Linked DNA regions of Macaca mulatta. The protein of the gene in region 2 interacts with the protein of the main gene of each other region in a pairwise test. Links are inferred from orthologs where the notes say so. Each region holds a gene or a part of one and is shown on either strand. Other genes may lie near its edges. The genes, in order: YAP1, YWHAZ, TNFAIP3, UBE3A, ITPRID2 and CDC5L.

Region 1 (5,280 bases), on a different chromosome or scaffold from region 2:
CAACCAGATTTAAACTACCAGTGAAATATAAACTACTAGTCACGTATTCTAAATGCATACAAAGCGCTACCATTTTAAAAATTAACTGGAAAGTAGGGAAACCTAAAAAAAGGATACATTCCACTACCACACTATTATAAATGTTACGTTTGGGTGTGTGTATGTATATAAAAGAGAGAGCAGATAATCAAGATTTAAATAAGGTGGTAAAAAAACCAGGAAATGAAGATTTTACCAAAACAACTATAATAACCGTCCCAAGCTACAACTATGAACAGATTCACTAATATGGTCATTTGCCTAGGTTCCGACAAAACCAACCAATCAACACCCCCCACCGCCCCACCAAAAAAAACCCCAACAAAACAAAATGCACACCCACAAAATTATCCACCAAAATCTATACTAGAGTATGTGGCAATAATTAATATATTTCTATGGAAATTGTCTCATGCCTTATAAGCTCCTAAAATAAAATCAAGGTCACTATGTGACTAATGATAGCACTAGGAGGAAAGGAAAATACTGAAAGTAAAACAGGCTTCAGCCTTGGTTTCAGCTATCTCTTCAAATCAGCATTAAGTATTTAATATCAGATAGAACATTTTTGGCTTGTCAGACCAGTAAATCATGTTTTTCCACTGGCCAAAGGCAGCTGAAGAAACAACTGGTGAGCAAACTAAATGCTGTGACATAAAGCATCTGACTTCTAAGTCTGAGTATTTAGTTAAAATGACTGGTGAACATTTAACTGGGCAAAAGGAATGGCATCCATCATCCAAACAGGCTCACTTCCCCCAGCCCCCAAAATGAACAGTAGTTATAATAGCAAAAGAAACAAAAAGTTTTTTTCTTTTTTTTGATTCTTTAGAGCCAACTGTGAAAGAGGTCAGCAATATATTAACAGCAGCAATGGACAAGGAAGAGCAAAATAGAGGATTAAAGTATCTTGCTGGACGTTTGTTCATCTTTTTCTGTATTAGCCAGAAAATTGCAACTGGCTTATGGAAATTTCAGGTGCGTATGTCTCCTTAGATCCTTCACAGATTTAGAATTCAGTCTGCCTGAGGGCTCTATAACCATGTAAGAAAGCTTTCTTTATCTAGCTTGGTGGCAGCCAAAACAGACTCCATGTCATTAAGGATGTCAGAACTCAAAGCTTCCTGCAGACTTGGCATCAACTCCTCTCCTTCTATGTTCATTCCATCTCCTTCCAGTGTTCCAAGGTCCACATTTGTCCCAGGAATGGCTTCAAGGTAGTCTGGGAAACGGTTCTGCTGTGAGGGCAGGGTGCTTTGGTTGATAGTATCACCTAGTGGAAACACACACAGAGAGATAACAAAGTCCTTTTTGAAAAGCTAACATCAGGGCTGTATCATATGAGCATACAGAAATGCACAGGGAAAGAAAAGCGCTCCTGACTGACCTAAACTGATACCTAGAATTTATATCAGGTCAAACAACTCACAGGTAACAAGATAACAATGCCGAGTTTACTTTTGCTTCAACATTTGTTCAGATATCCAATAACAGCTCGATTGCTATTATGTGCTGAGCACTAAAGGGAGTCATTAAAAAAATAAAAAAGTCCTTGAAAAATTATATGCAGCAGGGGGAGAAAGAACAAGAACACAACACAACAGCATCACTACCCTGTCTTCCAGATAAGCACCACCATAATAAGACTAAACATAAAAACGAGTGGTATAGAACTTCCTTGGTCTTAAAAACACTTTGGGAAACATTAAAATAAAAGGACTGCATGAATACTTTATTCCACCCTTATGCACCTTCATAACAGCAAAACAAGCTTCCCAGAGGGCTTTGAAGAAATACATCTTCTTAGCCTTGCTTCTAGGTTTCCCAAACTTACTCCGCCACAGAGCCTTTTTTGCATATGACAACATTAACATTCCTCAGAGCTTCAATAGAACATACTTTCAGAAAAACTAATATAAATCATTAAGTGCTATAGGGATCTAGAGAAGAGAGAAATACAGATTAGAGAAGTAAAAGTGTGTGTGAAATGGGTTTGAAGTGGCTCCTAAGGATGATTTAAAATCTAGGTAAGCAGAGAGGAGGGGGTAGTGTGGATTCTAGAAAGCATCAAAGCCAGGAGCTGGATGAGTACAGGCACAAAAGCCTTGCTAAACACTTTCAGAAGAGAAGCAGTTAGCGAAAGAGCTGGTAGCTAAAGAACAGCTTCATTTCCCTGCCAATTCATGCAGTCTGGCAGTTGTCAAGTTTAAGGCAATGGTTGCCAGGTAAGCCACAGGAGAAATGCTTCCTTAATTATCCCTGTGAGGCAGGTATTTCTTAGCTCCTGCAAGACCCCTGTAACTATTCCTTTTTTTTTTTTTGAGACAGAGTCTTGCTCCGTCACCCAGGCTGGAGTGCAGTGGTGTGATCTCGGCTCACTGCAACCTCCGCCTCCTGGGTTCAAATGATTCTCCTTCCTCAGTCTCCTGAGTAGCTGGGATTACAGGCGCACACCACCACACATGGCTAATTTATGTATTTTTAGTAGAGACAGGGTTTCACCATGTTGGCCAGACTGGTCTTGAACTCCTGACCTCAGGTGATCTGGCCACCTCGGCCTCCCAAAGTGCTGGGATTACAGGTGTAAGCCACCACACCTGGCCTTCTGCAACTATTCTAATAAAGTAAGTGGGCCCCACCTCCTAGTCTTTCCCATCTGGTTTCCTGAGCCCCGTAACACCTAAGGTGGACCAAAAACTCTTAAGAGAAAAGATGAAAACAAACACTGAATAACATGTAGACATTTCTCAAAATTAAGGACACAAATCCATAATAAGGAGAGAGATGTTCTAACGGGCACTTGTTTGTCTTGCCAATTAAGATCAACATGCTAATGTAAGTCATGCTGCCAGAGTTTTATTCAAATAGAGCTAATATATCCAATTTATGATTTTTTTTTTTTTTTTTTTTGAGAACGGGTCTCATTCTGTCACCCAAACTGGATGGAGTGTAGTGGTGTGATCACCAGGGCTCAATCCATCCTCCCACCTCAGCCTCCTGAGTAGCTGGGACCACAGGCACGTACCACAACACCTGGCTTATTTTTGTATTTTTTTGTAGAGATGGGGTTTCACCATGTTGCCCAGACTGGTCTTGAACTCCTGGGCTCAAGAAATACGCCTACTTTGGCCTCCCAAAATGCTGAGGTTACAGGCATGAGTCACCGCACCCGGCCAATTCATGATACATATTTTTTTAAACTAGGAAAATACCAGTTACAAATCACCATATAGAGACAAAGCAGGCTCAATTTAATTCGAATTTACAGGATTTTAATTGGTTTTCTTCTGAATAATCTTTGCTTACAATACCTTATTAGACCTGGTGATAACATATCCGACTGTAAGTCAGGCTACTAAGAGGAATAAAGAATACCAACCTGTATCCATCTCATCAACGCTGTTCAGGAAGTCATCTGGGGTGCGAGGGACACTGTAGCTGCTCATGCTTAGTCCACTGTCTGTACTCTCATCGCGAGAGTGATAGGTGCCACTACAAAAACATGACAGTTAAAGACCAACACAAAAAATTTTAAAAATCAATTCAAGGTAAAAATAAACACCTGCTGAGTACCAACATAATTCTCAAAGAGGGTTAGTGAAAATTCCTGCTCTGCAATGTCTGAAACAAGCCCCTCCCTCAGGGCCGTAGACAGGGCTTGTGCTATGAAGTGAAATAGACAAGTTAATCCTAATTGAAGCTAGCAGCCCTAAAGAGCCAAGATTTCTCCTAAGGTTCTGTGCTTGATGACAATAAGGGACAAAAAAAGGTACCCCCAGTTAGTTTTCCTGGCTGGCAGACAATTCTCTGCATGAGTATTCTCCTCTCTGTAATACTATTTGAATCTGGAGGTGGGGAGGAACCCACACAACTTACTTGTCCCAAGGTCTCAATTCTCCAGGTGGTGGTGGCACAGACAGAGAGGTCAAAACACAAACTCCAGGTGGGCGAGGAGACAGGTCTGCACTAGATTCAAGTTAAATTCCTAGCTCTTGTGCAGAGAACATAAGCCAAGGAAAAATCAACCCCAAATAAACCACCAGAATTCCTTTTAGGACTGAACCAAAATAGATGAGTCACTGCTGATAAGATAAGAATACTCATGGCTTGATCTCCTTGCTTCTGTGTTTGGGCGGGGGAGGAAAAACCCTCAAACACTTTAGTACGAAAGGAAACGGGAGATCATATAGCTCCAGTTAAAGAAAGAGCAAGACAAAAAACTGCAAGGCACATCCCTTGAAAATAAAATGACCCGACACAGATTTTCACTTTAGACTAAGCAAGGTTTCCCAGATTTACATTCATGTATGGTAAATATCCATTACTCTGATAAATAGAACACTCTCCTAAGCTGGTAGCATCTAGACATCAGCGGGCATTCACTGAGGTCTACTAACTCTAGAAAATTCTCAGTTCTACTAACTCTAGAAAATCTTGGAGAAAAGCATAAAATCAAGGCAGCTGTTATTCTTCAATGGTCTGTGTACATGTGTGAACTTTAACTTTCTCTATAGATTGTACATTTAAAAGCAGCTATTTAACTTACATAAAAGTTAAAAAATAAAAACAAGTTTAACAATTGCTCAAGGCTACAAGCTCAGTCAGTACCCCAACTGCCTTCCCTAAATGATGCAATGCGTTTGCCTTGTTCTTTCTCTCCCCTCATTCTATATACTGCAATCACTGGTTTACTCTAATGCTTCTGCCAGATTTTGCCAATGCTCAAAAGCTTCACACAGATCCAAGAAAACACATACTTGCCTCTGAGACCACTGATATACAATGCAGCCATGGATGAGAAGGCCTCAGTATTTGGCTTGTTTGTATTTTGCGTGCCCTGATCTGGGACAAGAGCCTGGTCCTAGTCATCACTCTATTCGGCTGCTAAGCATGGGACGCACATCAGACATTTTAGTCTATTACTGAATAGCTGAACTTACAGAGTTGTGCAGAGTTCATTCCAAACCACAGGGGAAGCACATGGGCATTCCTGAGAACAGAGTTTACAGGGCCATTTTCCTGGCGAGGAACTGCTCCCTGCAGAACCTCACCTCCTACAGGCCCCACTCATTCAATAAACATTCACTGAGCATCTGCTACTACATGACAGGCATTAAACTAGGCTTTGAGGATAACGAGGTTAACCACCACCACCACCTACAAACAATGTTTTGTGAGAGACTCACAACTTCAAGGAGGGAAATGAACAAATATACTACTGAATCATATACAGGGGCTATA
Region 2 (5,280 bases):
CATTCCCCACAACCCTGGGGGATGAGAATTATTCCTATTTAATTGAGCTTAGTTTTCTCAGAGGGACTGAGTGATTTCCTCAGGCCATGCATCTATTAAATGGTAAAACTAGTTTGATTCAGTATCTTGAGCTCCATTATTCACCTCGACATACTTCTTTGAGTTTGAAATAGTCTTCCTAGACTGTGTTTCCTTGGTATTCATTTCATCAAGTGCAAGATAAAAACTACCCAATTTTTGGCTGCCATCTTTCAGGTTTAAAGAGGTGCTAGTGTTGAGTCCCTCCCCAACTACCAAGAGAGTTTCTGTCTAAGCATCTGGCAGGAAAGGCAGATTGCATTAGTTCACATATTGCAGTTTCAAATTAACACATGGAAGAGAAGAACTCGAAGTTCTTTTACATAATGAAAAGTCCACCTTGTGAAGAACATGCCAGTGACCACTTTCCACGGTAATGCTCTATTAACTCTTGTAATAAGCAACATGGTCCAAGCTCTTTGCTTATTAAATGGTTAAACAATTGATAAATACATGTAACCAAAATGGGTTACTAAAAAGTTCTTCAGAAAAACTCAGAACGTTGGAGATTAGCTGCTTTTTGTAGGAAGAGTATATTTTCATAGCTATTATAAAATAGGTGCTCAATATAAAAAATCTGGTTATCACTAATGCCACCAGCCAATACCATTAATTCTGCAAAGGGATTACCTGCTTATTTTTCTCAAATTAAAGTGTGTGTGTGTATATATATATATATGTATATGTGTATATACATATATATCTCTCAAAGCCCAGAAAAGGCTGGAGTAATAAAAAATTATAATTGATTTTTTTACCATGTAAGATCTCAAATATATAATTTAAAATATTTTTAATAATCATTAAGTAACAATGATTCAAAAACTTTCTCTAGTAGAAATACCAGTTCTGCTACACTTTATTCTTCCATTTCACTAAAAAGGGGAAAAGGAATTTTATGCAATGTTTCCAGAGTCGATGTGACCTATTTGAAATAGATGGTAGGAAAAAGAAGCCTATTATCTGTAAATATCAAATTTTCCCAAGCAGAAAAAGAAAAAGCCAGGGAAATTTTGCAGTGCTGCTGACCTAATTCTATCCTTTCTCAAAAAAAGCCTTTCTGCTTGTTTAACAAATATTTGAGCATCTACTACACGTTCTGAGTATGCAAAGATCACTAAGTCTTACTCTTAAAAAGACTAAGGCTGGAAGCCAAAGCTTGTTTAGAATTCTCTTCGAACCCACTTGTATAGTAAAGAAAACTCTCATTCATCCAAACTTTCAAAGTATAAATACCATTTAGACTTTTTAAGAAGCCAGTGCTATTCTAGAGGGTAACGATGTGAGTAGGGACCAGAATCAAACTCCTTAATAATCATAACAACAAGAAGCTATTAAGAGATTATCTTGTCATCCTCATCTACTGGTTCTATGCAAAAAATTTTTCTTGATAAGGAAACCAAAGGGAAGCATAGTCAAAACTGCTACAAGTTGGGCCAGACATGGTGGCTCACCCCTGTAATCCCAGCACTTTGGGAGGCTGAGGTGAGTGGATCACCTGAGGTTGGGAGTTAGACCTGACCTGGTTACCAGCCTGGCCGACAAGGTGAAACCCTATCTCTACTAAAAATACAAAAATTAGCTGGGCGTGGTGGCGCACGCCCTGTAATTCCAACTACTAGGGAGGTCAAGGCAGAAGAATTGCTTGAACACGGGAGGCTGAGGTTGCAGTGAGCTAAGATCATGCCATTGCACTCAAGCCTGGGCAACAAGAGCAAAACTCAGTCTCAAAAGAAACACAAAAAAACAAACCTGCTACAAGTCTTTTCCCAGGAGAAGACTCACAATGACAGGAACTTTTATACTTTGTATATGGAAAACATGCACATACCTACCTGGTATTGCAAATAAGCGTGTTATTAAAAGGTAAATGTCACATTCCTTTTTATTCCTAAAATTGACTTTTGTCTTAAGGGAAATGTTAACTTGTAACATATCCTTTGAAGCCCAAATAAAAACTTTTTGATCAAGTGTAACACCAGACTGAACAAAACTGAGTTACACTTACACAGATATTAGTAAGGAGAGCAAGGAAAAAAAAAAAAAAAAACCCAATACATTTTTTATTATAGAAAAAAAATCACATTTTCAAAATTTAAATATTCTTACTACCTTAGCAAAATCACAAGATAGGTATTTGTCACTTGGCCTCAATAAAAGCAAGATATTCCTTTTTTCAACTTAGATACAAATAACAGCTATCATTGTAAAGGTTTCAATAAGAACAACAAAAAAAAAGCCCCAAGACAGATGTCTCATTGAGTTTGTGATTGTGAACCCAAATAAGCATGTTTTAAAAAATCACTATTATTTTAAAAGACAGTGTCAAGTATCATTTGAGAAAAATACAGTTTAGGAATTGATGCTATTCCATTAGTAAATACAAGTGTAAAGAAATGATAGCATCATCACAACTGTAACAAAAACCCCAAACCCACAACCACATCAGACATTATCCTATTGCTCATTACAGTACTTCTTCCATATAAATAAGGTTCATATAGTAAGTAACACACCTGGATTTCCATACTGAGTCCCACATTCAGTAACCTGTCCAGAAAAATCGCGATGCTGCTGCCCCTCTTTGTATATCAGAGTCCTGCCATACTGGTTAAGTGTAACCATTTAGCAAAATCACTTTAAATATTATTCCAAAAACTGCCAGCTTGGATTTTCTACTAGTTTATCCTCAAATTTAAACTATTCTTGATCAAAAAGCCCTACTTTGTATGACAGATTAAAATTAACCAAAATGTAGTTTAATCATTTTAAGCGTAGTGCTTCAACACAGTAGGTACTGAATACTTAAAATACTCGATTCAAACTGGAAAAATCAAGCTTGAGTTATTCATAACCTTTCATCATGGTTGCGAGTGTTCAAAATTTATTTTCAAGAATTCAATGCAGGAAAGAGGTTTCATAGTCGTGACGCCAGAGTTTTCTGCATGGCTGACTCATTACATTAACATTATAGCGGCTAATCCTGAGAAGAGTACTATTTCTACAATCAGTATCCTATTACATCTCTCTTACATAAAATATGTAAAATTCCTTTATCCATAGATGTACATTTAAGATAACCAGCTATAGAGCTACCACAAATGTTCTAACCATAAGTAAAGCAGTAATACTATTAGTTTATCTTTTCAATAATACTAAAGTCTGTTATTTTTAAAACTGAACTGTTTCATCATCATTATTACAATTACTTTACATACACATATCTATAATTGTCTTAACATCTTTTTAGTTATGACACCATGAAGACTTTTAAATCTGAACACACAATGTTTAGAAGGAAAAGATAAACCGAAGAAAACGTTGAGAGTAATGTAACTGATACTCATAGGAACCTTACAGTATAATGAAGCCAGATTCAATTGATTCTCACCAGTACATCATTGCAGATATCTCTTAGCTCCGTCTCAATTTTCTCTCTGTATTCTCGAGCCATCTGCTGTTTTTTCTCAGCACCTTCCGTCTTTTGTTCAATACTTGAGACGACCCTCCAAGATGACCTACGGGCTCCTACAACATTTTTATAAGCAACTGAGAGAAGATTCCTCTCCTCATTGGATAATTCAGCTCCTTGCTCAGTTACAGACTTCATGCAGGCTGCCATGTCATCATATCGCTCAGCCTGCTCGGCCAGTTTGGCCTTCTGAACCAGCTCATTTTTATCCATGACTGGATGTTCTGCAGGGGGGAAAAAAAGGAGTATTTAAAATTTTTCCCATCAAAATAAACAGACTCAAAATTATACCTGTGGTAAATGAGTTTTTTAAACCTGAAATCTAACTGCCTGTGGAAGACTGTTCACATGAAGAATTAAAATGCAGCTTCACAAAAGGATAGTCAGAAAAGGAAAAAAAATTCAGCATACTCAGCATCAGAGGTAAACTTTCAGCCATTAACACATCAGTGTAGCAAAACTAAAATTTGTTCAGAAGATACAGATTTCACATAAGGTCAAAATTACTTTCAAAAGCTGCCTCAAAAACTTACCCCTAATCTTACTTGACCAAAATCTCAACTCATTTCCAATACCACTAAGTGATCTGAAATTAAGCAGCTTTTCTTCCATAGTAAAAGCATTGTTTACAGAGAACATCTGGATTTCTATCATATTTCCAGAATCATAATTCTTGTCAGTTTAACTCATGTCTTTTTACTTTCATAATACTTTCGTCAGGAGTGATTAAATTTTAGTTTTAGTGTTACCCCCACCCCAAACCTACTAGATCTCTGCAACATTTGCCAGCCAATAATAGCATAACAATTTGGGGGGAGGAATGACCAAACTGTTTGTTTTCAGATATTTTGAGTATAAATCCACCACAAAGGATCAATATCTGACCCTAATGCCTCAACTCCTTATCTTGTTATATGTCCACATGCTTTAAAAATATCCACAAGTCATGGCACTTCAACTCTTACTGTGAGTACTAGAATATATCACGTTGGAAGTACTTGATTTACAAGTGTTTCCAATGTCATTGCTCCAGTTGAAATGCAGAAGTGCTGCATTTTGCGTCTAGCTGTCATACTGTAATTGGATGTTATCACTCAAGCTGTTCTTCACCATGACTATCCACCTAATTCTCTTTCCCTCGCGTTTTAGTTTCCTAGACCTTTTCTATTTACCTCAGCTACATTTTTCTGGAAAGATATCCTTTGGCAAGTTGGCAAACAGCACAAAGATACTAATCCACACAGCGATACCACACCAAAAAAAAAACGACTTGAGAGAAAAATACACACCCTGAATGAAGTGCACTTTTAAATTATGTGAACGGAAGAGTTCACCTTGGAAGCTGACTCTCGAATATTAATCATCTTTTGCCTTCCCAGGGAAATCTCACAGTATTTTTTTAACTAAATGAGAACAGGTCCCCACATTTTAAACAAATTACTTAGCCACTTTGGATACAAGGTACTGGCTCAATACGTAAACTATTTAACCTTTATGTCGGCATTATTTTCCTCAGGTGTCTAAATTACTAATTTTTCCCTTAGGATCTCAGAAACAGTCTCTGGTTAATTCTGCTTCTAATGAAAAATGATTTAAACCAGTACAAAGGATTCTCTACCCAATCACTTCGGTACAAGAGGAAGTGGATAAGGTTTCTCACACAGTAATGAGTGCTCCAAGGCCTCGCCTCTACACTGCGGGCAGGACTCACCGCACCCATTTAACCCTTA
Region 3 (4,907 bases), on a different chromosome or scaffold from region 2:
GATGAAGCAGTCCTGACGGGCAGGGTGCAGGCGCCTCGGCCAGTCCCCGCACACCTTCCAGGTCCAAAGAAGTTCCTGGCCTCTTGCTTGGTAGGAGAGGAGGAACCTTGGGCTGAATCTGAGATCATCCCTTGCCAGTTACAAGCTTTGCTTTCTAAGGCCACCTGGGAACACTCCCTGGTTACCAAACCTGAGCATCGTGGGCACCACAAAGAGCTTATCTTTCCTCTCCTGCTCAGACACCCTTGAGCCCGCTGTTGCAGTGGCAGCTGAGGGTTCAGAGGATAGCACCATGATGACTGACAGCTCGAGGCCCCACTTCTTGCAGGAGGTGACCCGCCTGTTTCCGGTTAGCCATACATCTGCTTGAACTGAAAGCACTCGTTGCAGTAGCCGTTGCACTTGGCATTGCCAAAGTGATCACAGGCGGGGGCCCGGCAGCGCTGCTTGGGGGGATCTTCGGGGGCAGGCTCACCCCGGTGGGCCCCGGGGCCCATCCTCGGGTTGGGATGCTGGCACTCCATGCAGAGCTCCTCGCTGCGGCAGGCCAGGATGTTCTTGCAGGAGGCCCGGGCGCACTTGGGCCTTGAGGTGCTCTGTGTGGTTCGAGGCACATCTCTGCGCTGGCTCGATCTCTGAGTGGAAAGAACAGACGGATCATTAAAAAGTCAGGAAACTATTGCTCACATTTCTTAGGGACAGCACAGTGAAATCTCATTGGATAGTGTGGAGTCTACAAAGAGCTTTACCTGCCTGAGCAAGGGAACAGGAGAGCACCGCAGTCTATGAGCCAGAGCTCTTGAAGGATGTTTCCTTCCAATCTCAAGGAAAGCTGACTTGGCCCCCAGGGAGGCTGAGGAAAACCGTCAAGCCTAAGTTGGCCTGCAAACTTTCCCTGGCTCTCTTCTGTTGGGACCAATAACCACTGTTCTTAGATAGCTTCTCTACCATTATGTGAACAACAGGCGACACACCTGTATCTGTCAAAGCTGGCTTTTCTGATGTACCATTAAGCGCAGGCCCCCGGCAAGCTCTGTCTGTTCGCTCCTTGTGATAAACGATTATTTAAGAAGGGCTGCTTTTTAGATGTCTGTGCTTCTCTTACAAATCAAAGAAGCCTCTGATCACGGTCTGGCTTTCTGGGGGCTGGAAGAAGTTTTATGCAATGGCTGTGTTTCTTTGTTTTTAAAATGAATTCAAAAGTATTCTTGGAGCATGAAAATCGGTGGCAGCATTTCGGACCTGGGGAGCCACAGTGACATGGACATTCCCCTTCAGGTTCTGAACTAATCCTTTATCATGAGGGGACAGAACCTGGCAGAGACGAAAGCCTGCTTGTCACTGTTGGAAGCCAACGCTCCAGTAAAAAGCACCGGACACACGGGAGGGAGGGAAAACTCCTCAAAATGTCTCACCAGTTGCTCTTCTGTCCTTTTGGCCTCATGAAATCTCTGATTCTGAGCTTCAATGAAACACTTCTGGCAGTATCCTTCAAACATGGTGCTTCCAAGGGTGCCGCACTCCCTCCCCAGGCACGGAATGGTGTTCTGGAACCTGGAGGCTGTGGGACTGGCTTTCCCTGAGGCAGCGACCAAATCTACACGAGAGTGGATGCTAGTTAGTACCACATAGGGGTCACCCCACAGATACAGAGATGCTGACATTAGAGAAATAAATGGGTTCCAAATACAGATTAGGCCAGCCTTAAATATATAGAAATATATATATGTACATATTTAAGTATATAAATTCAGCAAAAGAAATAATAACAACACTATTATGGAAACATCTTTGGCTTTACCGATCTCTCATTTTGAACTTGAAGCACTGATTGGTCACAGGAACAGGGCAAAGAGCAGGCATTACCTGGTCACCCTTCTTTCAAACGAGAGATTTCCAAAACCACATCTGTTTCCTTACAGTGTCAAGAGAGACTTCCTTCTCTCCAGTTACTACTCTTCAGATTTTAAGATTGTTCTATTATATCTAAGTTGCAAAAGAAGTCTAGTTTAAGACTGTCTTAGATACGCCAGACCTGAACGGTCTAGTAAAAGCAAATCCCATGAGCTCTGTCTACAGGGCACTCTGGTTTTTGGAATGTGATATTAGGAGCTGCTATAACCACGCAGTGCCTTTTGCCTCCATGGGCAGCTGGCAGGGCCACCGTGGCTGTCCCATGCACAAGCCAGTAGAAAAGCACGGTAGGTCCTGACCACTCTGCCTGACTGCCCACACGGGATTTTTTCCTTAAAGGTCAGGAACAAAACCTCTTCTGGACAGTAGCTGCTATGTTAGGAAGTCAACCATTTCACTCACGTTTGTTTTCTCTGTACTCGATGAAACACAGTGTGCAAAAGCCCTTGTTTTCTGGAGTCCCAAAATACATGCAGCCAGCTTTTCTGCACTTGCTGGTCCCCGTCCTGTCCCCCGGAGTCCGTGCAGCTTGAGACAGGCAGCCAGCGGGGGCGTCATTTCCAGCTCTGTGGCAAGAATGCGGGGAGGGGCTCCGGACGAGCTGTGAGGGATCTGACTTGGAACGCTGGTGACAGGAGGGAGGGAGGCTGGTGCTGAGGCTGGAGGAGGCCTCTGCTGTAGTCCTTTTGAAGCAAGTACTGCAGATCCCATTAAATGTCCTGGTGACATCCTGGAGGCAGGCTTGGCACTTCCCGGGATCCAAGTGCCTTGTGTGGTCTGCGGCGTGGCTGGCGTGAAGTTGCCGGGCGTTGTGGCAACGTTCACAAAATCCGTTGTGCTGCACATTCAGTGTGAAGGGGCAGCCGGGGCTCCTGCACTTCATGGCAGTGGTCTCACTGAACAGAAAAGGGCTGGGTGCTGTCGGTGGAGCAGAATGAGGCCCCCCAGTGGGCTCCTCGGGGTTCCACGCCAAGGGCTCATAGGCTTCTCCCCGAGAGGCCCCGAGCGCCATGCCAGGGAGCCCCTCGGGGCCCGGCTTGGAGTTCAGCTTTGGGAGTTTGTTTTGATTCTTTTGCCGCCTCTCTGAGCACTCATGGCATAAAGGCTGGGTGTTCACAGACATGAAGAAGGGGCAGTTGGGCGTTTCACATTTTACATCCATGAGAGAAAGCTGGGGCAGGGAAGATTCCATGGGATTCTGGGCATGCATCTCGCTCCTCCCCTGCTCGCTGTTTTCCTGCCATTTCTTGTATTCATGCTGAACAAGCTCAAAGTAATCATCTACCAGATTGATTTCTTTTGGTAAGTTAGCTTCATCCAACCTGAAGACCAAAAAGAAAAAATATGTATGAGACTACACAAAATCACACACAAGATTTTACATCATTAGCCTACAGAACAAAGTTTTAGAATATGGATTATGGCAAGAATTGCAGAACCATTAACTGAAACGCAGGCCTGTGATGAAGAGCTCACACTTTTCACGTAACATGATCTGACACATTTCCCAACACGTTCTAGAGTCAAGAATGATGTCAGTTAGTTTGCTAAGACTTCCTTATTTTTAAAATCACAGTTTCATTTAATCAATCTTGGTCCATCCAAAAATTATAGATAGTTTTAAAACAAGGGCTAAAAAAAAAAAAAAAAAAAAAAATCAGCTGACTCTTTAATTTCTCAGAGATCAAGTTTTGAGTAAAACATCACTCAGGCCATTCGTTTGGGACTAGTCTACTTTATAGCACAAACTACTTTGGAACCTCAGGTTGGGTATTTTGCTATTACTAACTTTAAACTTGTGTCTGGTCTCCACCAGCATTAGCAGCCATGAGTAACTAAGATGCAGACACACTCAAAGGCACTTGCCTATTTACTGTTGACTCTGTAATTTGCTAATCTCCACGTTGAGAGACAGATTCTCTTACGGCCTCCTTGTCATCTCTTGTGCATCTCAAGTGCTCAGAAACAGGCATCTCTTTAACATAAAGCCAACGTTTAAAGACCAGATACCTGCACAATGGGCATTCTGGGGCTTTCCTCCCATTCCATGTGGCAGAATCATGAGCTGCAACAGGAACAATTCTACAGCCCCAGCTATGTCTGATGTGCCTGTTCTTACCAAGAAGCCAAGAGAGAAAGCTTTTTGTTTCCAAGTGTTTTCACTTGCTAGTCTTTTTAATACGTACCAGAGTAATTAAAATACAAAAACAAAAAACAACAACTATCCTTGATGTAAATGCACTTTGAAAACCCATAATTCTGCAATTCTGGCTTTTGGGATCCAGATATCTAGGAAACTCAATATGGATAAATGACTTATTTCGATTTGAAACCCAAGTTAGTACGGCCTTACAGAATCCTCTCTAACCATGCACAAGGCTCTGAATTTGTTTCCCACTGGCAGAAACTGGCCACAAATCACTCTACTGTTGAGCTTCAGGGTGGCAGCAACTCAGGTGGCTGAGGTTAAAGACAGTTACAGATGACACAGGAGAGAGCTGAACATAAACTGCTTACTTTGCGGCATTGATGAGATGAGTTGTGCCATGGTCCCAGCCTTGGACAGGGATTTCTATCACCATTAAGTACTCTTTTAAGAGCTTCTCCTTCATCTCATTTTCAGGATCTGTCAAAAAGTGAACTTTCAAGTCTTCAAATCTTCCTCGGTCTCTGTTAACAAGTGGAACAGCTCGGATTTCTGAGGGAAAAAAAATAACACATAAGTAAAATCGTATTCTACTAAACAAGGCCATAGGTAAGTAGATCGCATTTTGAAAGTGTGTAAAATATATAATTTACAGAATAGAAAACTATTCTCAGCCACAGTTAAACCCAAAAGGGAAAACAGAATGTGCTACAATCTAATATAAAAATGCACTGTTTCCAGGAAACTCACAGAATATTAACCAGCCTGGAGGGGGTGGATCTTATTGGTTGAAGTCCCAGGCTTTAGAATCAGACTGACCTGAGTTTGAATCCTGGCTTTTGTCAAG
Region 4 (5,280 bases), on a different chromosome or scaffold from region 2:
CTCTATTCTCTTCTGAATGAAAGAAACTTTGGATCTAGTATTCAAGATTTAGAAAACCCACTCTTTTTCAAAGATAGAGTGAGCATTATATAATACAACCGATACTTTGTAGAAAACATCTATAAACTTGGACAGGAACAACAAAGTGTAATACTTATATCTAAGATCAGAAATGTCCATGTGTTCCTATGCTATATGGTATCATTTTTTTCAGTCACTTTTAAAATGAATTCACTGAACTGTATCATGATATCCCCATTACTAGGTTTTTAATCTAGCAGCCCAACTTACCCGGACAAGTGCATCATCTATGATATGGTCACGTCTAACTTTGAGTCTCAAATATGGATTCAACTGCTGTCCTTGAACTAAGCTGTAGAGAACAGTGATTCTTCGTTCACTGTACATGCGAATTCTATTGTCATAATATAATCCCAAATTCTTTGTGACAGCATTTAATATAAAGGGACATGTCATAAAAGAGAATTTGTTCTCTGTTTCTACTTTGAAAAAAGTATAATCTTTATCCATTTCTAGAACCTCATTCAGTGGTTCATTAATAAACTCTTCAAAAGGGATAAGTGGTTTTCGACAATCCAGGGTTTTAACACCAAGTTCAGTTTCCAGGGGGTCCACTCGAGGACCTTTCTTGTTTCTTCTTTCTTCTCCCAAAAGCTCCTGAAGTGTCAGCTCACTGGATTCAGGGATGGGCTCTTCATCATCTTCTTCATTGTGATTTGTGTCCACTTCCCCTCCCACTACATTTGCATAGTAAACCATTTTCAAGCACTTCGAAGCAGCAACAATGGCATCATCATCGTTCACTAGATTTCGACTGTTAAATTCATTGCTTATGACTTTGTAAGTAATAAGTTGCTGAAATGTCTCCATCATTCTCCGAATCTGGTCTGCATTGTATTTAGACCACAGTCTGATCAGTTTTCCTTGGGCTGCAAGGGGTAGCTTGCTCATTGCTTTGCAAAATAATGGCAAAGCCATTTCCAGATATTCAGGACTGTGGAGATTTCTATTCTCCATTACGATAATGAACAAATTCAGATAATTAGGATCTCGAGAGTATACATTGTGATACGTCAAGTCACATTCCACGTTAGGTGACAAATATACAAGTGCATTGAGAAAGGCAGTTTCAATTTTTTCATTAGACAGCAATCTGGTGTAGACCCTTCTAATGGCATCAATATCCACAGACACATCATCAGGGCCTACTTTTTGCAAATTGTTGTCTCCCTGTGAGCTATCACCTATCCTTGAGGAAGATGCTTCTGAGTCTTCTTCCATAGCAGCAGCAGAACATGCAGCTTTTTCCTTTTCATCTTCATCCTTGTCTTCATCTTTTGCTTGAAGAGATTTCAGTTCTTCCTTGGTATGTTGTTTAACTTTCCGGAAGCTCTGTACCAATGCCTCAGCACTAGAAAAAACTCTTCCAATAACACGAATTAAAGGGGAATAATCCTCTCTTTCTCTACATAATTCAAGAATTTCATATACCTTCTCTTCTGTTAAGTAAGTCACATCTAGAAAATCAGAGGAAAAAAGAGAACATTTATTTTCATAATATGCATGTTTACCCTGTTGCAAAAAGTTCTAATAAAAGTAAAACAGCCAAACATTGTAGTCTCAACATCATTTATGATATACAACTCTAAAAGTATCTAATACTTAGATTCAGCAAACAAAATTCAATGCTTACCTATTTTTTTCAATGAACTACCTACACCAATGACCTCACCCATGCTTTTACATTCTTTCAACAATGCATAACTCTTAATGAGATCAGGAGAGTTTAAACTTTCTTTATAATCAAGATATCTATTAATGTATAGCTTTATTTATAAATATGAACCAATATGTCATATACTGATTAATCATAATACAGCTCTTAAAACCTCACTGTAGAACAGAAATACTACTAATCTTCTGAGAGTTTTCTTGTTTCAGTACTCCGTTCTCAAAAGACTGAGAAGGCAAAGTCTTAAAAGAAAGGTTCCTTCAGCATCTATGTATGTATTAAAAGAAAACTGGTTCATTTTGGGTCTTCCTAGTTTGTTCCAGGGTAGTCATTCTGTGAGTGATTGAGAAGAATATACCATTTCTCATCAGCTCTTGAGCAGAAACTGCTTTCTGCAGCCAGCAATCAGGTTAGACTAAGTCTCATAGAGTGACAGAAAATAATTTTTGAGCAATGAAAACAGTGCGAAGAAGGCAACTTATGAGCTGGCAAGCAGTGCAGAGACTATGTAGTCATCAAAATCTGTTTCCTCTTTTCCTGGGCACAGAGTTGGACCACATTTCCCAACTTTTTGAGATAAGTGTTATTTTCAGGCCAATGCTTTCCCCCTTCTGGCTAACAGGATGAAAGATATTTTATTTTACAGGTAAAAACAAATGATATATTTTGTGTACTGACCAACATAATACTGAGAATAGTCTTAATTCTCCCTTTCATCAATAAAGTGACATACTTATCATCATCAGATTAACTACTTAAGGGGTTAATTTTAGAGGCACACAATCCTACCTCCATTGTGCCAAACATACCTTTATACATGTACTATACAACATGTAGAATTTTTAATGACTCCCACCTCTGCTATAATATATCTGTTTCACAATGAAAGACAATATAAAATGTAAGTGATCACTGAATGGTCTCCAAAAATTGAACCACAAAAATACCAAATTTTATCATACTAAGGATCTGATCTGTGGCCAAGCTACAAGAGTGTCAACACTTGCAGTTTCTTTTATGGGCCTTAACTCTTTAAGAACTAATTCTCAGGTTTGTTCTATTAAGAATATATAAGCATCTTTTGCTAAACATCAGTAACCTTTTCCCCAAAAGCGTAAAACCACTGGAAGTCTATTTCTCATTATTTTCATTGAAAATTTTTATAATACCTTCTTCCAAGACAATGCAAAACCCCTATCTAATTTCCCAAAATGTAACAGAAAATTAAGACATAAAACACTTTGCTTCCTGAGCAAGTCATAAGCTTAACAAAGACTTGCTTTGCATGCAGTAATATGGCCTGTCCTAGGGATCACGATTCTAGACTCACATGTCCTTTGTTGATATGTCATGCTTTCGGAACATCTTCAAGTGATTCTGACAGTCTACTAATCCTATATAGAATGTACCTATACTTTTTCCATGTAGTGTTTTTTGTTGTGGTTGCTGTTGTTGTTTGAGATGGAGTCTCGCTCTGTCGCCAGGCTAGACTGGAGTGGCACGATCTCGGCTCACTGCAACCTCTGCCTCCTGGATTCAAGCGATTCTCCTACCTCAGCCTCCCGAGAAGCTAGGACTACAGGTGCACACCACCACAGCCGGCTAATTTTTTTGTATTTTTAGTAGACATGGGGTTTCACCATGTTGACTGGGCTGGTCTCGATCTCTTGACCTCGTGATTCGCCCGCCTTGGCCTCCCAAAGTGCTGGGATTACAGGCATGAGCCACCATGCCTGGCCTGTAGTGTTTAATATGTTAAACTGAATTTTTCAGATATATAGATAAAAATTAGTCAAAAAACACTGTAATTAGATATGAACATTCATAAAGTTTGGTTTACTGATAGAGGTGTTCTACTGAGAATATATTAAATAAGACATTTTTTGTAAGATTTCTTGTGATAAATGTGTCCCTGAAAATACTCAATCTTTTAAATTCTGCACTTAAAAACCTTTTACACAACAAGAGTTTGGTGCAGACTACTTAATAGTTACGCAACTTTGTGATTAGTGTTAATAAACATAATTAATAATCAAAATAAGAGTACTAGTGCAGAGACAGCATTTCTAATTTCTAATATATGATAGTAACTGTAAAACACTGCAAAAACAAAAACAAAAACAAAACAGTAAAGAACAGGGAATAGTACCAGTAGCAGATTAGAAAGTAGGAAAAAGGAAAGGTCAAAACTGCTAACTAATGCAGACTTCAGCAAAAAGAGGTGGGGGCATAAAGACCGGATAAAGCCACACAATAAGCATCTCTAAGATGGAGCATGTGGCCAAAAGAGCAGATGAGTACATTCCTCATGTATCACACCCCCCCCAGCTGGCTGCATTCCACTGTGCCAGCACTCTGCGTTCAGTTACTGGTACTCTGTGGTGCACACTTACTGGAGAACTGTGTACAATAGAGTCAATGCAGCTTCCACATTATACTGACACACTATATATATAGACATTTACCTATTTTTCCACAGTGTGTGAGCTAATTCATGAAACAGAACTATACACTCTGAAGCAACAAAGTTGTGTAAAGTGACGAAAATAATTCTATTGTGGAAACAGTAGAGGTTATAACACAATGCCACTTCATTAATTCTTTCAAACTTGATTCAGATGATGTTACTGAAAGTTTTAGAGGCAAATGCCTCTAAAATTCTGTCACTTACACGTCATAAACAAAAAGCTTTCTCTCTTAAAATACAATTGCCTCTGCGTGTGTATGGGGGTGGGGGTGCAGGGGCGCTAAGCCCTGGCAGTCATTCAAAAATTTGATTACCGTGTTACTAATTACATTCACTGAGGAAAATAACTTGGAGTTTTAGTATTAGCGACAAGGTAATCGAATCCTGAATTTTGGACACAGGACCATTTAAAAAACAAAAGACCTGAGTGAAGATTGTCATTGGTAGGTCACCACCCTTGGCAGCATGACTGTACCAAATGTTTGTGAGGAGAGTGAGAAGCATATATTTGAAGGAAATGTAGAATTCTCACATAACTATCACAAAATTTTGTCTTGCCTTCTAAAATGGAAAAAAACCCACTGCTTCCTCTTCCTACTTCTTTCATCACATCATCCTGAGGTTCCAGAACTCATGCCAGATACTGAGTCCAGTTATTCTATAACTTAAATAGATGTTGTGGCCTAGTTTTGGAGATTAACTATCAATTAATACTTTTTTTCCTAAGAATTTTAAAAAGTTCAAATCCATCTATTAACAAATGAACTTTTGGCATATGATCTGCTTCTAATTAGCAACGATTAAACCTGTAAAATGTAGTTATTATTCCTGTCCTTTACCAAAACAAAAAATTGGTTCTACAGTATCAAAATGTCTTAATGTCACATAAGAAAAAACAAATAAAAACTCATACATTTAAATCTCCCACATGGTTTTCAGCCAACAATTCTCAATTAAAAATAAAACATCTTACCTTTAAAATCAATTCTAGTGCCTTTCTTGTTCATTTTTATCTCAGAGCAGGAGTTGTTGGGGGCACCTTTCGAGTTCTCAAGGTAAG
Region 5 (5,280 bases), on a different chromosome or scaffold from region 2:
ACAATTCTGAGCAACAGCAGGGCCATAACTGCAGTGGAGACAGTGAAATTATAGAAGCACTGTGTTGGTTTGGTATTTTGTTAATGACTCTTCTTACATATATTCTTCATCTTTCCACCTGTTTTCTTTTCACAGGTTCAGGAGTCCTTGCAGGCTATGGGGAGTAGTGCTGATAGTTGTGACAGTGAGACAACAGTTACGTCACTTGGTGAAGACCTTGCCACACCAACAGCACAAGACCAGCCTTATTTTAATGAATCAGAGGAGGAGTCTCTCATCCCTCTTCAGAAGGGACTAGAGAAAGCAGCAGCAGTTGCAGACAAAAGAAAATCAGGTAGCCAGGATTTCCCTCAGTGCAAGACCATTGAGAATCCAGGAACTAAACAGTCCACCTGTAGTTCAGGGGATCATGTTACTGAAGTTACTGAAGTGGAAGAGGATTTGTTTCCAGCAGAGACGGTAGAGCTACTGAGGGAAGCAAGTGCTGATAGTGATGTGGATAAAAGCAGTGAATGTGAATTTACTCAGTATACCACACACCATATTCTGAAATCATTGGCTTCTATTGAAGCTAAATGCAGTGATACGAGCTCTGAAAATACAGCTGGGCCTCCCTCTTCCGTGGACAGAGTTAATACAGCTTTACAAAGAGCTCAAATGAAGGTTTGCACTCTGTCTAATCAAAGGATAGGGCGTAGCCTGCTAAAATCAAAAGATTTGTTAAAACAAAGGTACTTATTTGCAAAAGCTGGCTATCCTCTAAGAAGGTCTCAGTCTTTACCAACCACCTTACTGAGCCCAGTAAGGGTTGTGTCCTCTGTCAATGTTCGACTATCTCCAGGAAAAGAGACCAGATGCAGCCCACCTTCCTTCACCTATAAGTACACACCCGAAGAGGAGCAGGAATTGGAAAAGGGGGTGATGGAACATGATGGTCAGTCTTTAGTGAAATCGACCATTTTCATTTCTCCATCATCTGTGAAGAAAGAAGAAGCCCCCCCGAGTGAGGCGCCGCGGGTGGAGGAGTGCCACCATGGAAGGACTCCTACCTGTTCCCGGCTTGCTCCACCACCAATGTCTCAGTCTACCTGCTCCCTTCACTCCGTCCACTCTGAGTGGCAAGAAAGGCCCCTGTGTGAGCACACAAGAACTCTGAGCACTCACAGTGTTCCCAACATATCAGGGGCTACCTGTAGCGCTTTTGCTTCCCCTTTCGGGTGTCCTTACTCACATAGACATGCCACCTACCCTTACCGAGCGTGCTCTGTGAATCCTCCTTCAGCCATAGAAATGCAGTTGCGAAGAGTATTACACGATATTAGAAACTCACTGCAGAATCTTTCACAGGTATGAGAAAAAGTTATCTTTATTAGCTTTTTTCTTTTACTGCTCTGAGCACTTTTTAATTCACAGAGAAGCTAAGACACATCAAATATGAACTACCTCTGCTTTATTTTCTGACATGTCTAAACTTATCTGCATCTGCCTTCCTTTTCTATCTTCCCTCCTGTTTCAAGGGAGAAGCTGTAACTAATCCTGATCAAAGTCGATTTCTCTGCTCATAATTCTGTCTCCTTTCTGAGAGGAGAGATTTTGCTCATGAAGTATCCTCCCATTTTTAGTCTACCATCCATTGTCTTTGTTTTAGGCTAGAATCTTTGTCAAGCCATTTCTATTATTAAAAAATCTTCCCTCTCAAAGTTCTTTCTCTCCTTTTCTCTGCCATTTGAACATGTTGACTACCTTTTCCTTTTCCAAGTTTTCTCCCTGTTGGCTTCTGTGGCACCACGTTCTCCTGGTTCTGCTCGTAGCTCTCTGACTAAGCTTTCCCCTTCACCTCCTGACCCTCGATGCTGTGCACAGAGTTAGTCTACTTCCACTGGACTCAGAGACTGGAACTACTCCAGACCAGAAAATAACAAATCAGGTAAAGTGTGAATTTGATTTAAAATGCTCTGTATGTCTTGTCACTTTTTTTTTTTTTTTTTGGAGCTGGAGTCTCGCTTTGTTGCCCAGGCTGGAGTGCAGTGGTGTGATCTCCACTCACTGCAAGCTCCGCCTCCCGGGTTTACGCCATTCTCCTGCCTCAGCCTCCCATGTAGCTGGGACTACAGGTGCCCACCACCACGCCCGGCTAATTTTTGTATTTTCAGTAGAGACAGGGTTTCACTGTGTTAGCCAGGGTGGTCTCGATCTCCTGACCTCGTGATCCACCCATCTCAGCCTCCCAAAGTGCTGGGATTACAGGTGTGAGCCACTGCGCCCAGCCGTCTTGTTACTTTTAAAGTCATTCTCAGATTTGTTAGTGGACTGGAAATAATTTTCCCAAAAAAGCTTTGAAAATAAGTAAGTTGTCTTCAGTTTTGCCTTTTACGTTTTCGTGAACGTTCTGAACAAATCATGTTTAGACAATTGAAGAATTGAAGAAAATGACAATGTAATATAGTCATGAGAGCATTCAACAAGGAGTCAGGAGGCCTACAATGAATCTAATAAATCTCTTATCGTGACATAATAGACAGGGAGCCACTTGGAAAGTAAAAATCAAAAGTGTAACTTCTCAAGTTATAATAAGATATACCTTCTCCTAACTAAGTTTTATCCTCATGACAGTTGTCCCCTGTTTTCTGAATGGGGACAGTTTCAGAATGTGGGTGTTTCTTGTTCTTCCTTACAAAATATAGTTCTGTCTGTGACGGAGATGTTTAACTTTGCAGCTGTAATTATGTCAAGCTGGGGATTTCCAGGGGCCTGTCCACCAGTACCGTGGTGCATCTTTCTTTCTAGGCCACCTTGTTCTTCTGCTCCAGCTGTGGTCTCTCTCTCCTGGATGTCCCAGCAATAACTCAGCTAATAAATCTCCCCATGCCAACCCCACCCCAACTAGTGGACAGATGCTTTCTATGATGTGGTCTCTGACTGTCTCTCCAGCCTCATTCCTTAGCTGTGTGTTTCAGCCATCCTGGAGGACTATGCACAGGGCTCTAAACAGTTGTGTGTTCTTACATATCTGCACATGCTGTTTTTTTTGTTTTTTTTTTTTTGTTTTGTTTTTTAATAAAAAGATGAAGTTTCTGTTTGTCGCCCACATGGAGTTCTGGAGACAGTGGTGTGATCACGGCTCCCTGCAGCCTTGAACTCCTGGGCTTAAGTAATCTTCCTGCTGTGGCCTCCCAAAGTGCTGGGACTGCAAGCCACTTTTTTTTTAACCTAGATCACCCAGCCTTTGCCTTTCTTTGCATAATCAAGCCCTACTTACTGTTAAGGCTCAGTTCAAGTAGTGTCACCACTTTTGGGAAAGTTCATGTAATATGAATTTTTGTGTGTCCATCATAGCACTGCTTCCACAGTATTATAATTTTTACAACATTTTGTTTATTTTTCCTTACACTGTGAGGACACCTGAAGGCTGGGAATACCTTTTATGTTATCTCACTGCCTAAAATAGTGGCATATGGGAAATGCTCTCTAAGAAAGACGACGACGATTGCTTGCTACTCTCTCCAGAGAGTGTAATAATCGCTATACTCTCATGATGATATTTGCAATGACTTCTACATTTTTGCATTTTGATTTTGTTTTTGTTTTTTTTTTTCACTTTTGCAAGGCCAGAGGAAAGTCCTGAAAGAAATAGATGTGAACTATGTATGTTCCTTCGCCTTCTCCTCCTTCATAGATTGACTTATACCCGGAACAGCTAGCAGTAATAGATGTCATTGGGAACTGATTTCTTTTTTCCTGCTTACAATATGAAGGTTTTTTAGATCCTTTTGTCTTAACGAGAAAAATATGTAGGCCTCACATTCTGCCTTTTAACCCTTTAAGTGATTTGGAAGTATTCACTTTAACATTGATTTTAATCCTACTTTTACTTTTTGAAGTACCCTATGATGAGAGGACCTGATCTTGCTGCTGCTCCATATAGTACTCAGAAATCATCTGTTCTACCTCTTTATGAAGTAAGTTCTTACTTACATCTTTGTGTTTCAAAATAATTTGTAGAATTTAGAAGTGTAATTTTGTTTTATTGCATTCTAGAATACTTTTCAGGAGCTCCAGGTAATGAGGCGGAGCCTGAATTTGTTTAGAACACAAATGATGGATTTAGAATTGGCAATGCTGCGTCAGCAAACCATGGTTTATCATCATATGACTGAGGAGGAAAGGTAAAAGTTCATTTTGTCTTAGCACTCCTGAAAAAGCTTTTCATTCAAAGTCTTTTCAACTTATATTTTTAAAAATTAGGTTTTGATTTTACTGCTATGTACCTTATATCCGTTTTGTGAACCAGTGTAGATAAAATAGTCATAGATAGTGTTTTACTAAGTAAACTTGTGTGCCTTCAGTATCCTAAGGGTGGTTGTAACCAGTTTTCCAGTGTTTGAGATATTTGTGAGAGGATGGGGGAAGAAAGACCAATATCCTTGTGGATATACCTATTGTAGTTGATATTGTACTAATTATTATAGAACCTGAGATTTCTGTACCTTCTGTTAGCATATAGTAGTTGTTGAAAGATTTGTGATTAGGAATCTCCAAACTGCATTTTTCAAACTTTGTGCCCTTCACCATACCAATAGGTTTGAAGTTGATCAGCTCCAGAGTTTGAGAAATTCAGTCCGAATGGAACTTCAGGACCTGGAACTGCAGCTAGAGGAGCGCCTCCTGGGCCTGGAGGAGCAGCTTCGTGCTGTGCGCATGCCTTCACCCTTCCGCTCTTCTGCACTCATGGTATGCTACCTGGAGGGTGGTTGGAGTTTTCACCAAAGATTTATTTATAATGTTCTAATAATTTAGGACTTGTGCCTTCATTTCAAGTTATTTATTTTAATGGTATTAAAAGCATGCATACTGTTTAAGGAGCTTTCCCACAAACCAGTTGAATGTACAGTTTGTAATAATTGTTATAAATAGCATATTTAGAAATATGTTGAAACATTTTAATGATAAATTTTAATAATAGGAAAGAATAAGGGAAAGTTGAGTGTTTTTAAAGGAAAAATGATAGTGAATTAACATATGACTAATGTAAATTTTAATTGTTGCATGTAACTGTGGAGAACACAGATATGTATTTTGCTCAGTTTTTTTTTCTCTCTTGCCTTTAAATAAAAAGCGTTCCCTTTAAACTTTTTCTTTATTTTGGATTCTTTTCCATTTGTTTTTAAAGGAATCAAATGGTACCTGTATATTTTATTTTATATATATATTTTTTTTCCTAAATATATAGATGTATATCCAAGAGAATAAAAAGAAGTATCTTTTTGTACCACTTTTCAT
Region 6 (5,010 bases), on a different chromosome or scaffold from region 2:
CTCATAGATTCTTATCATATTTAAAGTAAGATCCAAATTCCTTATTATAGCCTTATTTATGTGGCTCTATACAACCAGGCCTTACATACAGAAATGCCATTCTTGACACTCCAGCCACATAGTCCTTTTTGTTCCTCAAACATACAAAAGAGGCTTTGTTTGCTATTCACTCCACCTGGGATGCTCTTTCCTTGAATCTCACAAAGATGGCCCATTCTAAAATGTCAATCACATGTTATCTTAAATGTTACTTCTTTAAGAGGTCTCCTTGGCCATGCAGCTTATAGTGGTATGGTGTGGTACAGTGCAGTGGTATAGTGGTGAGCACAGCTGCCTTCCAAGAGGTCTCTTTGATCGTCCAGTCTAAAATAGCCAGTCATTCACTATCTCATAATCACCCTACTTTAATTTCCTCCACAGAATCTGAAACTCATGGTCTGATACTTTCCCTGTACATATTTAGTATCTCCTCCCCACTAATGTCACCTCCGTGACAGCAAGAACTCTGTCTTAATAACTGCTTATCTCCAACACTTAAGTAAGTGTCTGACACATAAGAATCACCAAATAAACATTTGGATTTTAATTGTCTGTTATTCTCAAAAGACTATAAGCTCTACTAAACAAGAACTAGGCCTATTTTGTTCGTTGTTCTCTCTCTAAAACTCTGGCACAGGGTATACATTCAATATCTGATGAATGAATGAATGAATGAATCCCTTCCCTTCCTATAGTTCCTAGTATTCTAAGACTGGGCAAATGTTTTTGGTCATCTCAAAACATTGCTGGCCTATAATGAGCTCATAGCCAACTGATACTGTACACTAAATTAATTTATATGAATTATTATAAAATTAAATCTCTCCACCTCTATCCATTCCCCAAATTCTACACTGATGTAACTGACTTCTTACGCTAAACATAGAGCTTTAAGTTTGATGGCCTTCTTGAAATTAACTTTTAAAATGCCTTTGTCAAAAAATACTTACAAGAAAATAATAGGTCAAGGAAAATTAAATATTTTAAGCCCTGACCCATAAATTATTTAAGTAGCTGGAGGAGAAGAAACCTTCTTTAAAGTGATATTTAAAAAAAATTTGAGGTACTAAAAAGTTAATCTAACTCGTCAGTGTACACAGAAATGACCATTCTTTGCTGAAACTAACAAAGCCACAAAGAACTGCCTCTTAAGTGTTTAAGATACTGCATCACCATTTTGATTACCCAAGAGTTACTCATTAAATATGACACAGAGTACATAGCTGCTGGTTTGCGGGCACTCTTAAGTATCTAATTACTTAAAACAAAAGGCTACATTCTCAATTTTTTATATTTTGTTTTTATTTAAGAGTTACTCACAGGCAGCACTTTAAAATTAGGCTTTTTAAATTAAAGGCCAAAACTAAAAAAGTTTGCAAATATGACATTGCTAAAAGAATGACAGCCTTAATAATTTAAACTCTAAAATGTCCGTCCTGTGGAGTTAAGGTCTTTATACACAGAATGTGTAAGATCGATATCATTTAAAATAAACAACCAAAAAACCACAGATGGTGGGTAAATTTGTCAATGAAGATAAGCATCAGTTTCAGCCTTCTAGAGTATGAAAACCGGCAATTAATCCTGTGACAGAATATAAACTGTACTTCAGAACTTTGACTTTAAAGTCTCTTTCTCCAGCAGCAAATCAGCGTATCTATGTTGAAGTTCCTTTTCTCTTTCTTGTTGTCGCTGAACATCTTCTTTTAGACACTTAAAGAAACAAAAATATTAAGTAATTCTTTTAGATGTAACTATATTGAAAAAAATCTACAGTACTTTACTATCTTAAAAACCAGCTGAGTTAAATCATGATTCTTAAGAGGTAAAAATTTCTCAAAGAGAAACAAACGTATCAAATACTTTTGCTATAAAACCAGTATCACAGCCATTCTTTGATTTGGTCATATGAAATCCTGCTGCTACTTCAAATAAACAAACCACTACTGTCTTATCAGTACCCACAAATGCACTTCAAGAAGCCCTGGCTGCCCTTTAGCTGGACAGGAGCTATTATGCACATTTGGGAGATAAATTGAATCCAAATCCGGTCAAAGGAATTTGATGGTTTGGAAGGACTAGCTATGTTCCCAGCCACCTAAGTTATAAAACAGAAAGATATTGGTTTAGTTTCCCCTCACAGAGCTACACGAATGGGATGTGATCAAGTTTCAAGGGGACAAATTACAAGGGCTAAGTATTCCATTTCACAGTGTATCTACGTATGAAACAGAACATGAGTAAAGGAAGGCCTTTGTATCTACAACTTGCCTAGTCTATCCATCTACACAGAGGCAATTCTAGATTAAAGTCAAACACTTTAGGCTCTCATTTTTAAAAGCCTGACACTACCAACTTCAGAGACAGCCTACATAGGAGAAGTAAAAGAGGACAGCCCTGATAATTCTTTGCAGCACTCTTTTAAAGCAACGCTTCAATATATAACGTTACCTCTAGCCTCCGGGGAATAGCAGAATCTTCATGTTTCTTGAGTTCTTCAAAAGTGCGTAACTCCAAGTGAGCCTGTTCAATTTGGTCCCATAAGTCATTCAACTGTTTCATGAGCCCCATAGCACGAGACTGGTAACCCCCAAGCAAAATTTTCATCTTCTTTTCCATCTTTGCAGCTCTCTTGGCTTCTGTCGTCATGTGACCCCTGTTTATCTGGAGAGCAGGGGAAGATCACATCAGCATACATGAGAAAAGTAGGCTATTAAATAAAGGGCTAAAAAGGTACCATTCGTTCATGCATGTGCCTCAAAGCAAAAATACACTAGAACTCCTTATAGCTCAACTACTGTAAAAAAAAAAAAAAAAAAATCAAGCTTAAGAAGGATTTATCTTGCACCTAAAGGGTTTTATAGGTGAGTACCAAATAATCTATAATCTATTTATAATAATTTGACCCATGACTGAACCTCAAAGCGGGCTTGAATGTCACAGTAGGGGAAAAACTAATGCCTACTTTCTGAAAATGACTTCTGCTATCATTCAACGTATTTATTTTGGGACTAGCTACAAGCTATCTTCATCATCTATATCCCAAAAATGTACTTCTGGGAGTCTGTTCACACATCAAGACCCCAACTTTTACAGTTTCCATCCCAGGGCCTGCATCCTAAATCTCCTGGCTCTGGGAGCTGAGGGATCTAGTGCAAGTCTTCCTAGATCACTACATCCCTAGAACAAAGAGATACTTTTAATCAAGCATGCAAGTACTTTCACAGACTGCACCCGTTGGGGGCAGTGCAGAGAAGGAGCCAAAAACATGAAGCTCCACATTTCTCCCTGGAAGGGGCTCATGGCACAGTCTTCCAGTGGCTACTTGACAGCCTGGCTTTTAACGTGCATGGGGAGTTAATGGGACAGTGGAGTTTTTGCAAAAGTAGCCTTCTGGCAGCCTAAGCAGCAGCTGGACACTTTCCAAGCCTTTCCCCCTAGTCTGCCCCAGCAGTAACTCTAGGCCTACCAATTCCTCCTAGGAGTTTATCCACACATCAAATGCCTCAATTTGCACAGCATCTACCCAAAGGACTATATCCTAAATCTCCTAGATCTGGTAATGGAAGAGACTAAGCATATGCATGTCTCTCTAGATCAGAAAACAAGGAGGTGGTTTTAAACAGGTGTGCAAATACTTTCTAGGGCTACACTCTCTGGGAGCAGTGAAGAAAAGAGTCTGGAACATGCAGCTCTCATTTTCTCTCCAGAAAGGGTTTATAACCACATACTCTTCCAGTGGCTACTTGACAGCCTGGCCTCTAACTTGCATCAGAGAGCTAATGCGGGAGATAAACAGTACCCCTCAGGCAGCCTGAGCAGGAACTTGGCATATCCTGAGCCTTTCCCCCAGCACATCCCACTGATAATTCCAGGCCTACTCATTCTTCCTAAAAGGAGTTTGTCTACAGACTGCGTGCCACACTTTTACAGCTCCACACAGACAAGGGACTGTACCCTTCACAACCTAAGCTCTGGAAAGTGACAGGGCTTTGCATTCCTGAATCTCCCTAAACCACAGAAAACAGAGGTGGACATACTACGAGCCCACTTCCAGCAGATTATCTCACCAGGATCACAGAGTGCAGCCACAACACAAGTATAGGCATTTGCCACAGAGACGGCTTAGTGTAGAGAGAGTGGAAGAATCAAGCACTTATCTTCAACATGATGACAGAAGGAACTAGGACACATACCCAACACCTCAACCTTCCCAGCTACATCGAAGCATCTGGCTTCTACCTGACTGATTACAGGGTATTGATGGAATATAGTACCAAGAATAGAGACAGCAGTCTGAACAAATACAAAGATTTAAAGGGTATCTTAAAATATCTAGCTGGATGGATTGGCAAGATCCTTCTGCTACACAAGGCCAGTCTAAGAAGTCTGAGAGAGGCAGTTGTCTCATGTAACGCACAGAAACCAACATAGAGACAGCCAAGAACAATTAAGAAATAGGAAAATATATTCCCCAAAAAAAAAAAAAAAGAAACAAAATAAAGCAATAAAAACCAACCCAAGTGAACTGGAGATATATGATTTACCCAACAGGAAATTCCAAATAATGGTCACAAAGATGCTCACCGAGGTCAAGTGAGCAATGCAAGAACAAACTGAGAACTTCCACAAAGAGACAGAAAGTATTAAAAAGTACCAATGAGAAAACATAGATCTGAAAACTACTAAAACTGAACTGAAAAATTCAATATGGGGGTTCGACAGCAGACTAGTTTAAGCAGACGAAAGGATCAGTAAACTAGAAGACCGGTCACTGGAAATCATCTAACCTCAGGAGCAAAAAGAAAAAATAATGAAAAAGAATGACCTAAGAGACTTATGGGACACCATCATGGAGAACAACTTATGCATTATCAGGTGCCAGAAGGAGAAAAGAACAAGTAACATATTCAAAGAAATAATGGCAGAAAACTTCCCAAGCCTGGGGAAGGAAATGGAAAGCCAGATCCA

What was found.
Region 1: the proteins of YWHAZ (region 2) and YAP1 interact in binary tests that used the Homo sapiens proteins (3 or more experiments, as listed by UniProt). The link is inferred for Macaca mulatta from reciprocal best matches to the Homo sapiens genes YWHAZ and YAP1.
Region 3: the proteins of YWHAZ (region 2) and TNFAIP3 interact in a two-hybrid assay, tested with the Homo sapiens proteins (4 studies listed by BioGRID and IntAct). The link is inferred for Macaca mulatta from reciprocal best matches to the Homo sapiens genes YWHAZ and TNFAIP3.
Region 4: the proteins of YWHAZ (region 2) and UBE3A interact in a two-hybrid assay, tested with the Homo sapiens proteins (2 studies listed by BioGRID and IntAct, with this or other methods). The link is inferred for Macaca mulatta from reciprocal best matches to the Homo sapiens genes YWHAZ and UBE3A.
Region 5: the proteins of YWHAZ (region 2) and ITPRID2 interact in a two-hybrid assay, tested with the Homo sapiens proteins (2 studies listed by BioGRID and IntAct). The link is inferred for Macaca mulatta from reciprocal best matches to the Homo sapiens genes YWHAZ and ITPRID2.
Region 6: the proteins of YWHAZ (region 2) and CDC5L interact in a two-hybrid assay, tested with the Homo sapiens proteins (2 studies listed by BioGRID and IntAct). The link is inferred for Macaca mulatta from reciprocal best matches to the Homo sapiens genes YWHAZ and CDC5L.

The regions. Positions count from the first base shown.
Region 1 is NC_133419.1:103,096,434-103,101,713, reverse strand, and holds part of YAP1 (transcriptional coactivator YAP1), read right to left. Parts: intron 3,532-5,280; coding exon 3,419-3,531; intron 1,313-3,418; coding exon 1,074-1,312; 3' UTR 1-1,073. UniProt on the Homo sapiens protein: Transcriptional regulator with dual roles as a coactivator and corepressor. Critical downstream regulatory target in the Hippo signaling pathway, crucial for organ size control and tumor suppression by restricting proliferation and promoting apoptosis.
Region 2 is NC_133413.1:111,303,653-111,308,932, forward strand, and holds part of YWHAZ (14-3-3 protein zeta/delta), read right to left. Parts: intron 5,239-5,280; exon of another isoform or gene 5,213-5,238; intron 3,775-5,212; 5' UTR 3,764-3,774; coding exon 3,470-3,763; intron 1-3,469.
Region 3 is NC_133409.1:42,970,484-42,975,390, reverse strand, and holds part of TNFAIP3 (tumor necrosis factor alpha-induced protein 3), read right to left. Parts: intron 4,613-4,907; coding exon 4,432-4,612; intron 3,237-4,431; coding exon 2,317-3,236; intron 1,598-2,316; coding exon 1,416-1,597; intron 636-1,415; coding exon 351-635; 3' UTR 1-350. UniProt on the Homo sapiens protein: Ubiquitin-editing enzyme that contains both ubiquitin ligase and deubiquitinase activities.
Region 4 is NC_133412.1:4,574,193-4,579,472, reverse strand, and holds part of UBE3A (ubiquitin-protein ligase E3A), read right to left. Parts: coding exon 5,194-5,280; intron 1,539-5,193; coding exon 292-1,538; intron 1-291. UniProt on the Homo sapiens protein: E3 ubiquitin-protein ligase which accepts ubiquitin from an E2 ubiquitin-conjugating enzyme in the form of a thioester and transfers it to its substrates.
Region 5 is NC_133417.1:86,843,503-86,848,782, forward strand, and holds part of ITPRID2 (protein ITPRID2), read left to right. Parts: intron 1-135; coding exon 136-1,347; intron 1,348-3,881; coding exon 3,882-3,959; intron 3,960-4,038; coding exon 4,039-4,166; intron 4,167-4,580; coding exon 4,581-4,731; intron 4,732-5,280.
Region 6 is NC_133409.1:137,663,885-137,668,894, forward strand, and holds the end of CDC5L (cell division cycle 5-like protein), read right to left. Parts: intron 2,704-5,010; coding exon 2,491-2,703; intron 1,753-2,490; coding exon 1,648-1,752; 3' UTR 1,355-1,647; downstream 1-1,354.